Linked DNA regions of Drosophila melanogaster. The protein of the gene in region 1 interacts with the protein of each later gene in a pairwise test. Each region holds a gene or a part of one and is shown in the gene's direction. Other genes may lie near its edges.

The links.
Region 2: the proteins of CG2247 (region 1) and CG12081 interact in a two-hybrid assay, tested with the Drosophila melanogaster proteins (one large-scale study listed by BioGRID).

Annotation. Positions count from the first base shown.
Region 1 is NC_004354.4:11,605,761-11,613,192, reverse strand, and holds CG2247 (uncharacterized protein), read left to right. Parts: upstream 1-1,540; 5' UTR 1,541-1,661; intron 1,662-2,358; 5' UTR 2,359-2,364; coding exon 2,365-2,716; intron 2,717-2,779; coding exon 2,780-2,991; intron 2,992-3,479; coding exon 3,480-3,791; intron 3,792-3,885; coding exon 3,886-4,490; intron 4,491-4,552; coding exon 4,553-4,640; intron 4,641-4,693; coding exon 4,694-4,959; intron 4,960-5,040; coding exon 5,041-5,179; intron 5,180-5,237; coding exon 5,238-6,410; 3' UTR 6,411-6,903; downstream 6,904-7,432. Other genes in the region: CG1703 (uncharacterized protein), read right to left, coding at 1-1,015.
Region 2 is NC_004354.4:8,586,966-8,591,274, forward strand, and holds CG12081 (uncharacterized protein), read left to right. Parts: upstream 1-1,845; 5' UTR 1,846-2,185; coding exon 2,186-3,397; 3' UTR 3,398-3,809; downstream 3,810-4,309. Other genes in the region: CG12065 (uncharacterized protein), read left to right, coding at 293-560, 623-1,202.

The DNA of each region.
Region 1 (7,432 bases):
TCTTCTGCACCTGCGACATGGTGAAATTGTTGTCCAAGTCCGAGTGACCGGCACCACCCTTCTTTGTCATCAGCTCCATTTGGCGTTCGTACTCCTGCTGCTTCTTTTGCTTCTTTTTCTCCTTGTGAGTGAGTTTCTTCTCCTTGGCTTCCTTGCTCTCCTCGAACTTGGAATCTACCTCAGCATCGGCTTCCTCGTCGGGTTGGGGTTCAGACTCGGGTTCGGGCTCGGCCTTGGGTACCGGCTCAGGTGTCTTTTCCTTGAGACTTACTGCCGCCACTTTTTCGCTAAGGACTTGCTCCACTTTCTGCTCCTCCACTTCCTTTTCGGGCTGCTTCTGCTGTTCCTTTTTTGACTCCTTGGCCGCCTTGTTGGACAGCTGTTCCTTCTCCTCCTCTTCGCTGTCATTTGGCAGATCATCGGCAACCTCATCCTCCTCATCATCGCTCATGGCGAACATGTTCTTTTGCTGAGCCTGCTGCTTCTTCTTGGACTTCTTGGAGGCTGGCTTGACAGCAACCACTTCCACCTCATCCTCCTCATTGTCCAGGTCGTCCAAGTCCAGCTCCGGTTTATCTTCGTCCGAGAAATCGTCGTTCTTCTTCTTGTTCTTCTTGTTCTTTTTGCTGGGCTGTGGCTTTTTAGCAGCTGGCTTGGATGCCAGAGGCGCCTCGTCGTCATCTTCATCGTCCAAGTCGTTGGCAGGCAAACTCTTCTCTGGCTTCTCATCCTCGTCGCTCCAGTCATTATTCCTCTTGCCCTTTTTACCCTTCTTGGCCTGCTTTTTGCCGGCAGTCTGCTGTTTGCTCTGATTCGATGAGGCTATGCTCTCCAGATCCTCGTTGTCCCGATTCCTGGTCGTGACATCCTCGTCGCTGGAGTCGCCGCCGCCACCTCCTCGCTTTCCCTTCTTACCACCCTTCTTGCTTGTCGGTGGCTTCTTCTCCTGCACTTTCTCCAGCTGCTCCTCGTCGTCATCAAAGCGCTCCTTCTTCTTACCCTTGGCCTTGGACATGTCTGTGAACACATAGGGATAAAGAGATGCTATTGTATGGCCTATAGTACTTGCATTTAGCGCTTGGACTCACTTGATTTGATCACAGATTACAACAGCCGCCCTCGGATTTCACGTGCAGAGCTGGCAATATGTAGGTGTATATATGTAGGTGTGTAATGTCGCTATATACATATGTACAACCAGTTGTGTCGCCAGGGATGATTGCACGCGATATTTTGTTGTTGGACTATCGATGACAGCACATGGAACGAAACTGTGCGATGGAAAACCCGTTAGGTGTCTCCAAAAATGGCAATTTCGATAAACGTGTCTTTTAGTATTTAAGTGTTGAGATAAATATAAATATATATATAAATATATGTTAAGACATTCGTTTGAATAAAATCTGTGATCTCAGTGAATGTATATGCCGGTAAGTTTTAAAACATATCATATGCTAAAATTTGGTATTTACATGTGTTAGAAAATCCTACAACTCATTCGATAGTATTGAATAATCGTTGTCGAGATTTTCCATCTAACCGAATAATTGTGTGAGTGGAAGTCGACAAGTTAAGTACGCTTGTAGGTTCGTTTTATATTTCCGAAAGAAGTTGTCGTGTTCAGTGTCTTTTCAAGTGAACTTTTTATTTCTTTTACAAAGGTAAGCTCAAAAATTAAAACAAAATTGTTGAGTTCTACATGATTTTGACACGGTTAGCTGAACAATCCGGTGCAGATTTAATAAGCGTCGCATCCACACACACACTTACTTGCAACGCAAGTTCGCGATACGCCGAAGAAGCGGCAAAGCATAGGCTGAAAACACAGTAACAAAGCGAAACGGTCCGAAAGAGTGATAGTAAATTTAACTTAAACGAGAAAAACTGTGTACTTTGTGCCGGCGAAAGTGCAAGAACCCGCTATTCAGTTTTTTCGTATGTGTGCGTCAGGTTTCCTCTCGATCAACAATTGTGGCGATCAAAGCAGAAACGTAAAGAAAACAAACCGCGAAGCCGCGCAACCCTGACACTCGCATAAATTTACATGTGTGTGTGTGTGTGTGTGAGTTGTGTGCAGATTAACCGGCAGAATTCGTTTATTGTAAAGTATTGTATTAAAAAGGGCTAACTCTGATTAGAATTTACATCGCATACTTTTTAAATTAAATGACTTGACAATAAAACGTCGGTTGTGGAAAAAGTGACAACCCAGGTCTTCAGGGTCAATATTTTTGACAGACGAAATTCCATTGAATTGTTTGCCTATCGGTTCCATAAGTGATCACTATTAATGTTTTATGAGAACATATACAACATATATCTAGAAACTTAGCTTATTTTTTTGCACATCGATTCCAGAGCGACATGGATGTGCCCGATGACAATTTTGGGCCGTCAAAGCCGTGTGACAAGCAGCCCTTAGCTGGCAACTCTAGCAGCGCTACCAATTCATCGTCGCATACCGGTGGTAACGGTAACGTTGATTCCGCATTCGAATCATCTACAGCTGCAGGACCTAGTTCCGGCGCCAATCAAAGTAGCACAGGCGGTGCTATAGATGAACAAGGTTCCATTGGTGAACAGAGTGCCGGCGTGGGACAAAACATTATTGAGGGCGACTTGCTGGTGTTAAATGCCAATTCCACAAACGTGGATCTTTCGACTCACCGGGATGGCTCTAGCTTTAAAGACTCGAACACTGAGCAGGGAAAAAAAAGTAAGCATAAATAAATAACCAGCATCTGTAGCATAATAACACATCTCATCTAAACCCACTTAGGTACTATGATTAAGACTTCAAAGACATTAAATGACAAGAGTCAATTTGAACGCCGCAGACGCCGTGGCCGTCAACGTGAACGTCATCGTGAGCCCAGCACGCATCGTGACGATCTTGAACCGTGCGATTTAGGTCTAATGGGATGGACTGGAGAATTCCCAAAGCTAACACCCATATCCAACATCGAAAGCAACTCGGATAAAGAACCGCTGGTGAGTAGAGGGGATGGCGATGCTGTCCAGGACACGAGCTGGCCTGCTGCTGTCTGTTCAAGCTTATAGAACATACCTCTGTATACTCATGTTCAATCCACAAATGGGCTAATTTGAATATCCCTTTCGGTCGGTATTTATTCACAAATACACATAATTAATCAATATAATTTGAGTATAAGTTTATTTTAAAACTTATACTCAAATTACTTTTACCTGTAAAGTAAACTTATGTAAACATAAAAATATTGTAAATAATCTTGGGACGGAAATTTGCATAAATCGAAAGAACTTAAGGTTATTAGATCCCCATAAACTGTTTTTTGACTATTTTTCCAATCAAACTTGGTAACTGGTATACAGAGGTCTATGTTGTGCGGACATCGTTTTGTTTGTTCTATATTATTGTATTTCTCAACACGAAATCGTATCTGTGCTTATCTCAAATCTCAACCAAACAATACACAACATGCACACTACGGCAATAGTCGACGGCCAAGCCAGGTGTACTGCCATGGAGTGGCCTAAAGGTTTTTCCGAGAGTGGAACCACAAGAGGAGACAGCGGCAGGTACAACAAAGCCGGCTCATATCACTAATAAGTCTGAGGAGCAGCAGCAGCAGCCGTCTCTAACAACGCCGATAATGACGTCGCCACTCGACGCCTCCCAGGGGGAATTGGATGCAGCCATTAAAAGCCCTTTGAACGCAAAAAAAAGTCCAAATGCAACTGGTATTGCAACAACATCCAAGTCCAGTACAACACCAACCAACATGCAACCATCAGACTTATACAACCAGGTGGAGACCCTTAAAAAATCTTATGCTAAGAGTCGGAAATTTCACAGATTTACTAACCATTGATCTTCTCTCCCTCTTGTATCTTCCCCCATAGGTTGAAGATAAAAAAGAGGATACCACCAAGAAGCAGGCGGAAGCTGATCATACCTTGCACAAATCACTTAAGGACGCTCGCATCGTAAAACGTTCTATGTCCACCCATTCGCCTCCGGAGCATTCGCGTCGTTCAGTGCGCTTCAGTAGCCATACGCCTCTGACCGATGAGACGAACATAATGAAAGAAACATCCACCGAAACCTCTTTGAAAGTTATTTTCGAACGCCTAAAGCAAACTGGCGTAGAGCGAGATCTCTTTATACCCAGCTCCGAAAATCCCAGGCCTCGCAGCAATGGTAGCCCGGTCCCAAAGGTGGCGGAGATGGAACATGTGGCGGTTGTGAAGTGCAAAACGGTGGCGAAGCAAGGGGCGGTGGTGAAAGGCAAGGCTGGGTTGGCCAACCCGTCCAACGTAATGCCCCAGACGCCTGCCTTAACGGTCACTGGAAAGCGAGTGTCGAAGCCCAAGGTGCCCAAAGGGGCAAGTCCACCGAGTGAGGGCTGGACCTCGACCAGGGCGGTTAAGGGGAATTCTCGGGCAGACTACACCAACAGCAGCTCGTGCGGTTCACCGATTGGTAATACCAACATTCGCAGGCGCAGGTAGATATATTGTATATATATACACATATCAATCTCTATATACTCGGTATTTTCATGTCCAGAGCTCACGCAAAGGCAGCCCCTGATAAGTCAAAGCCTTGTGTGCGCTGCGCGGCTTCTGTTCATCCGTCTGGACCTAAGTTGTGCAAGGTAATTTACGAAATGCTATTGGAGATTCACTGGCTTATAATATCCTCTTTCAGAAGTGTATCTATGAGAAGGGATATGCCAATAAGAAATGGATGAAAAAGACTGGAGGAAATGAGGATCATTATGATGATGACGATGACAGTGACTTCAGCATGATAGAAGTCACTTTGGAAAATGAAATATCCGTTCAACAGGCGGAGAAAAAGCAGTTAGAAAACGTGAATAAGCAGACCGTTATAAAGGAACAAGAGGTTGTTGTAATTGGAGGGCGCAAGGCTATAGCCATCATAGCCGATCCGATTGGTTGCAATCTGAAAGTGTGAGTCGGTTTAGTTCCAAGACCAACGCAAAAAACCTACGAAACGCACAGTTATTTATATGTTTTTCCTCAACTTATCAGGATTCCAAACCGGCAGAATTTGGCTGGCCTTAAAAAGATCTCAAAGGACAAATGTAGCTCCAGTTTGGTGCAGAGCCTGGGCGATTGTCACATCGGATGCCAGATAGTGATGGCCGTTATGAAAATCATGACGATGAAGGTAAAATGTCTAGGTCATCGTAAAATTGAAGTTCGTAATCCCATCCCATCCCATATAGGATCGTGTAAATATGGCGCAGGTTTGCAAAACATGGGCCATGATCAGTCAGGATAAGAGTGTATGGCGCACAGTCATGCTACGCGATACCCATATCAGCAACTGGCCGCGATTTATCCGTGAACTCGCAAATAATTGCACACGCGAACTGGACATGCTGGGCGTGATATTGCCGAATCCTCCGGATATTCTCGCTACACTCGACATTAGCGTCCTGAAAGCATTGCGTGTTCTTCGCACTTGTCCAGTAGATGACCAGTTCCTCTTTAAGGTCTTTCGTGAATTGCCCCAACTGCTGGAGCTAAGGGCAATCTGCTACAGTCCAACTTTTAATTTTTTAAATTTGGCACGACAATGGTCTAAGATTCGCGTGCTTCAAATCTTAATGACGGACCACAGAAGCAAAGTGGAATCACTAGACTCTCTGGGCGACCTGGTGCATCTAACTGAGTTGAATATACGTGGAGTGAATTATATAGGCTCGCAGGACTTCCGCTTCTTGAAGAAACTAGTTAACCTGAAGGTGCTAGTGTTGTCTTCATGCCAGGGCATGGATACCGAGGAATTTGGCCAGCAAGTGCTGCCCTTTTTAACGTCTCTACGCAGGCTCCGCTTGGAGAACAAGCACATGATCAATACCACTTTTCCGCTGTACCACATTATGTGTGGTGTAGCCGCTGCTTGTTCGGTACAGCAACTGGAGCTGGTGAACGTCGAGGTGGATGACCTTCTAACTTCGTTGATTGGAATGTGCACCACTGTTACGCACCTGTTGCTCGTCCCAAAGTGTCTTCAAAATTCGGCCAACGTGATCTATTCCGTAATGCGGGCCGTTCGCGAGAATGCCTCGCAGCTTCGCGTGTTCCGCCTAGGATTGGTTACCCAGCTGTTGAGTGCAACGGGTGAGCTGTACAGGGGAAGTAAGAAGGATGTGATCCCCGTGGAGCGCCCTGTACCGGGAATTCCGCTGGACGATGACCTTAATTATTGTGCTCCCGATGACCGTTGCATTGAAACGGACCACACGGAATGCGTTACCTTTCTGCCCGCCAAGCGCTTGCTGATGATACTGCGCGATGTGGCACCAACAACATTTGTTACGTTTGTTAAGGTGAACATGTTCAACAGCACCATGGTTACCTTCCTCAAACGGCCACAGTTGAAAAACAAGTAAGAACGTTTAACGCACTAGTTATTCCTAGGTGCCATAAGTTAGCTCATATATAAGCCCTCCCAGTAGCAGAGAATGCCAAGACTGAGTCTTCTCGAGAAGCATCACCTCCGAACACCACATTTAAACACACTCTCAACAATATCTTTGAACGACATTCAGTACATTACTTTGTCCCAAGCTGTGAACGATGCAATCAAGCGACGCTGCTTACAAATTGACAGCTTGTAATGAACAGAAAAGAAAAACATGTAAACATAATAAATAAATGGGTTAATTGCTGGATCATACTAAATCGACTTAAACCACTGTTTTGGGAAGTGAACTATAAATTTCACTATAAAAATATAGTACTTATGTAAGATTGCGTGTAAGTAGTTCTGCCTGGTCTTGCTGGTCCTACGAAGGCAAGATCAAAGTTGTACTCATTACATTTGAACATGAATGACACAATTAAAAAAATAAAAATCATACGCAAAACACCCATCTTCTTCGTACAAAGACATTGTTTTTATTACATTTAAATATATAAGATCTTAATAATAAATCTCCAAAAATATACAGTACACTTTGTTTAAAGATATTTCTCGTTTTTCTTGAAAAAAAAAAAATGTCAACGAAATGTGTAATACAAATGCAGCTCTGAGTTTTGTTCTCCGTCGACATTTCGTTGCGCCGCGTCGCGTCATGTGGATCGAGAATACATATAGTAAAATAATTTTTGCTTTTGAGTCGAATAAATGATCCGTATTTGAACCGAAATGAATAAAAACTTCGAATGAATTCGCTTTGCGTTTTTATTGATTGAATATCAGCTTAAGACTGAAACAAATGGTGTGAGAAAATCTTAAATGTACTTGGTTAGTGGGTTGTTTACTTGATCTGCGCGAGAGCGCTTCTTGCTTATGCTTTTGTGCATACATATGAAAAAGAATTCTTATGTGCTACGTGGCTATGTATGTGCCTGCCTAGTGTCTGGGTTTTGGTTACGGCTTAAGTGGATGCGCAATATCGAGTAACAAGGA
Region 2 (4,309 bases), 3.0 Mb from region 1:
TATTGTACATATACACATGTAACTACGTCATTAGACGGATTGATTAGATCCGTCACACACTCGGTTCATTAATTGGTTTATGTTTTGTATTTTGATCGCAAAAGAATATGGGATGTATGGAAAATTATAATTGGTGTTTCTTTTTCTTTTTTTAAATATGATTTGTTCCTTATTTCATGTTCTTTTCATTCCTCTTTGTATAATTTGGTATATATGTATCTATCAATGTCCTGAACGTAAACCGCTTTCTGTAAGCCAATCAATTGATCCAAACTTTCTCTCTACTCCACAGGCGAATCGAATGTGTATACTCTGGGCAATATCGGGGCGCACAGGATCGTGAGCACCAAGCTCCCGTCGGTGGGCAGCAATCGGGAGGCGATGACGGCGACGGGCAATACCACAACCCGTCTGTTGGGCACATTCCAAAAGGTCGACTATGTTTTCATCGTGGGCGTAGCCGGTGGCGTTCCCCACTACACGGACTATAAGAAGCACGTGCGACTGGGCGATGTGGTCATCTCGTATGTGGACAAACAGCGGGCACTGATCAGCAATAGGTAAGTTACACGAATATAAAATCTTCAATCTATCAATCGCATTCATGTATGGCTCTTCACAGCAAGGAGAAACCGTACGTGTACTTGTACAAGAGCGGCGAGGACGTGAAGACCTACTTCCCGGTGAACGATTCGCTGCAGCAGATCGCCGAGAGCCTGCAGGCCAACATGCAGGTGAAGCGGCCGTGGGAGGACTACCTGAACCAGGCCCAACAGGCGTTGGCCCAGAAGACGGATGCCGACTTCAACCGGCCGGACGCGCGGACGGACAAACTGTTTATGAACATTGGAAATAACGAGGTGATCGAGGTGGCCCATCCCATTGCCGCCGACGAGGTGGACGGTGTCAATCGGTTGCGACTCCATCTGGGTCCCATTGGATCCGGAAGGGATCTGGTGAGGAGCGACGAGCTGCGCACCCAGTTCGCCAGGAAGTACGGCCTACTGGCCACCGATGTGGAGATGAGCAGCGTGCTGGACAGCATCATTGGCAATTGCAGAGAGAGCTTTATACTGGTGAAGGGCATCGCTGACTACAAGGACGGCACGTCCACCAGGAAGTGGCAAAACTTCGCTGCCATTTCGGCGGCGTCGGTGGTTAAGTCGGTTATCTGCGGCATGGACGCGCCCACGAATGTATAGGAGGCGGGGCTTCGAATACCCCATTTCCTCCATTACACCCCAACCCCCCCGCCCACCCCTTCCCTGCAATCGTAGCATTTGATTTGCCTCCAATTTTCGTACCAATCCCGCTGCGGCGTCCCTTTATTTTTTTGTGGCCAGACACATGGGGACCACTATTCGTAAACCAAAATGTGCATAGATTGCATCATATATAATGTATGTTCGCGTAATATTGTATTAAATGATTTCTTGTTATTTATTTTGTTATAACTTTTGTACTACAATCAATCTAATTTACACACAAACACTTGACGTATATAAAAACACATATATACAACAGTAAATAAATATCGCAACTAAGCTTGCAAAAACTAAGAATATTCAATGAGAATTTGTGATTGAGTGAAAAAAAGTTCAGGTAAATTGACCAAAGACATTAGAATATTCTAATTCATTGTTTGGAGCTTCATCTTAAAAATCAATCTAGTGTAAATGCACATTGCCATTGCAACTGTTTCGCTAAAATAGCTAAATATTTAATGCAAATACATTGGATTTTCGAATTTGTCATTTTTTAAATGCAATTGTCAATCAGAAATCTATACTATCGATATCGATAACAGCACGACCCAGTGGAGCCCTGCTATTTCGTGCGTCCGCTCACGCACGCAACTCTGTGTGCTTGTGTTGTTCAAAAATTCGATCCGTTTCGTTTCGTTTCAACATCTGGCAAAACTGGCAGAGCGGAGCGCAGCTAGCGCTTGGTATCAGTGTTTATACCTGTGTGGCCTTCAATTGCTCGCACCTGCGCCCGCACCACCCTGCCCCCGCTCCCAAAAGGAGCGACAACTGCGGCGCACTTGCTTTCCTTTGTGTGTTTTGGCTGCTTGGGCTGCTCGGGCAGCTTGGGCCCAAAGCAAAGATCTCCGTCTCCTCGCACAGCACACTGGTGCTACACGGCTCGCAGCCCACAGCGCACAGCTTATCCAGTTGGCCAAGACATGCTGTGGACGGTGCATCTGGACGGTGGGCCACAGCGGGTCAATCACGCAGCGGTGGGCGTGGGCGACTTCATCTACAGCTTTGGTGGCTACTGCACCGGATACGATTATCGCTACAATGAGCCCATCGATGTGCACGCCCTGAATGCACACACAATGCGCTGGACTCTGGTGCCCCAGCAGCTGGACGACGCGGGTGTGCCACTCAAGTATCCGCTGGTGCCCTTCCAGCGCTACGGACACACGGTGGTGGCCTACAAGGATCGCATCTACATTTGGGGCGGTCGCAACGACGAGAATCTCTGCAATACCCTCTACTGCTTCGATCCCAAGACAGCGCAGTGGTCGAGGCCCCAGGTCACTGGCTGTCTACCCGGAGCGCGGGATGGTCACTCGGCCTGTGTCATTGGCAATAGTATGTACATCTTCGGTGGATTCGTCGATGAGATCAACGAGTTCAGCAGCGATGTGCATTCCCTTAATCTGGACACCATGGAGTGGCGCTATGTTCAGACATTTGGCGTGCCGCCCAGCTACAGAGATTTTCATGCGTCGGTGGCCTACGAACAGGAGCGAATGTACATCTTCGGCGGGCGGGGCGATAAGCACAGTCCGTACCACAGCCAGGAGGAGACCTACTGTCACGAGATCGTCTACCTGGACATGAAGACCAAGGTGTGGCATCGACCGTTCACGGCCGGTAAGGTGCCCGTTGGTCGACGCAGCCACAGCATGTTCGTTTACAACAAGCTGATATATGTCTTCGGTGGCTATAATGGCCTGTTGGATCAGCATTTCAACGATCTGTACACCTTCGATCCGCGCACCAAGCTGTGGAACCTGATACGGGCCAACGGCAAGGCACCGACGGCGCGTCGGAGACAGTGCGCCATTGTGATGGGCACTAGGATGTTCCTGTTTGGCGGCACCAGTCCAAGGAGCGGCTCCTCCAGCTCGCCGGCAGCTGTTTCACCCACTCAAGAGACGGGCGGAGCCGCAGCGGCTGGCGGAGTTGTTCCGCCCGGTGTGGCGCTTATCGACTACAGCGATCTGCATGTGCTCGACTTTGAGCCCACTCTAAAAACCCTGGCCACCATGGTGGTGCTCAAGCACCAGCTGGACATCTCGGGGCTGCCAAGGAGCTTCCGCTCGGACCTGCAGATGCTGACACAGCCGAACAGTATTAGCCGGCCCATCAACCAAGCTGGCTAGCGTCCAAAGCCGTAAGGAATAAGCCGGAGTCGACTGCCACAAAATGGAATGAGGTGGAAAAATGGTGTTGAATCACGGAGCCACTAGTCCGGTTCTTTGTATTGGAGCTCGAATAACACTTTCGGGAGAGATGACGAATGGAGGACCTGAGCGAACGAGGGAGAAGCCCCAGTAATTACAAAAGTTTTAGAAACTTGCTTTTGGTACTTCTGATAGCTGCTAAATAATACACAATAATTATGACCATGCGAATGTAGAATATAGTTCATGAAACATTTATAAATCGTCCTCAAATAATACACAATAATAATGACTATGCGAGTATAGAATATAGTTGATGAAACATTTATAAATCGTCCTTTCGCCAAAATGCCCGATAAGAAAATGAATATAATATCTTAAACTCATTAATCATATTATTCAGTTTTGTTTACTTTGCCTTCTTGCTGAATTTTGTATAGCTGGTTAACTTAACACTATATTAATCTGTGGGCCGTTCATTGCGAACTCCAAACTTGCACGAGTCGGCTGTTTAAATATTTGCTTTTCGCATTAGGATCTATGTGGCAGCCGTTTCGTTAATTTAGACACTTTCAAACCGCCAAGGTATTCATCTCACCTTGGAATTACCTAATCTATTTTTGCGGTCAAACTAGTGACAAATCTCTATAACTAATTTACAGAGATCATCTCCTTTTAGGCAGTGTATGCATATATATATATATATGGTAATTGTGGATGTAACTCCCCTTGAACGCGGTGTTCCAGGCAGGAAACAGTCATCGAATCACTTGAAAGCAACAGCCTCGCACGCAATGCCAGTAAGAGTAAGGTCAGCAGCGCTCTAATTGCCTATTATGAGTGGTAGTTGCAACGCAAGGCCTCCAGGTGCGGAACACAGCGAGTACTTGG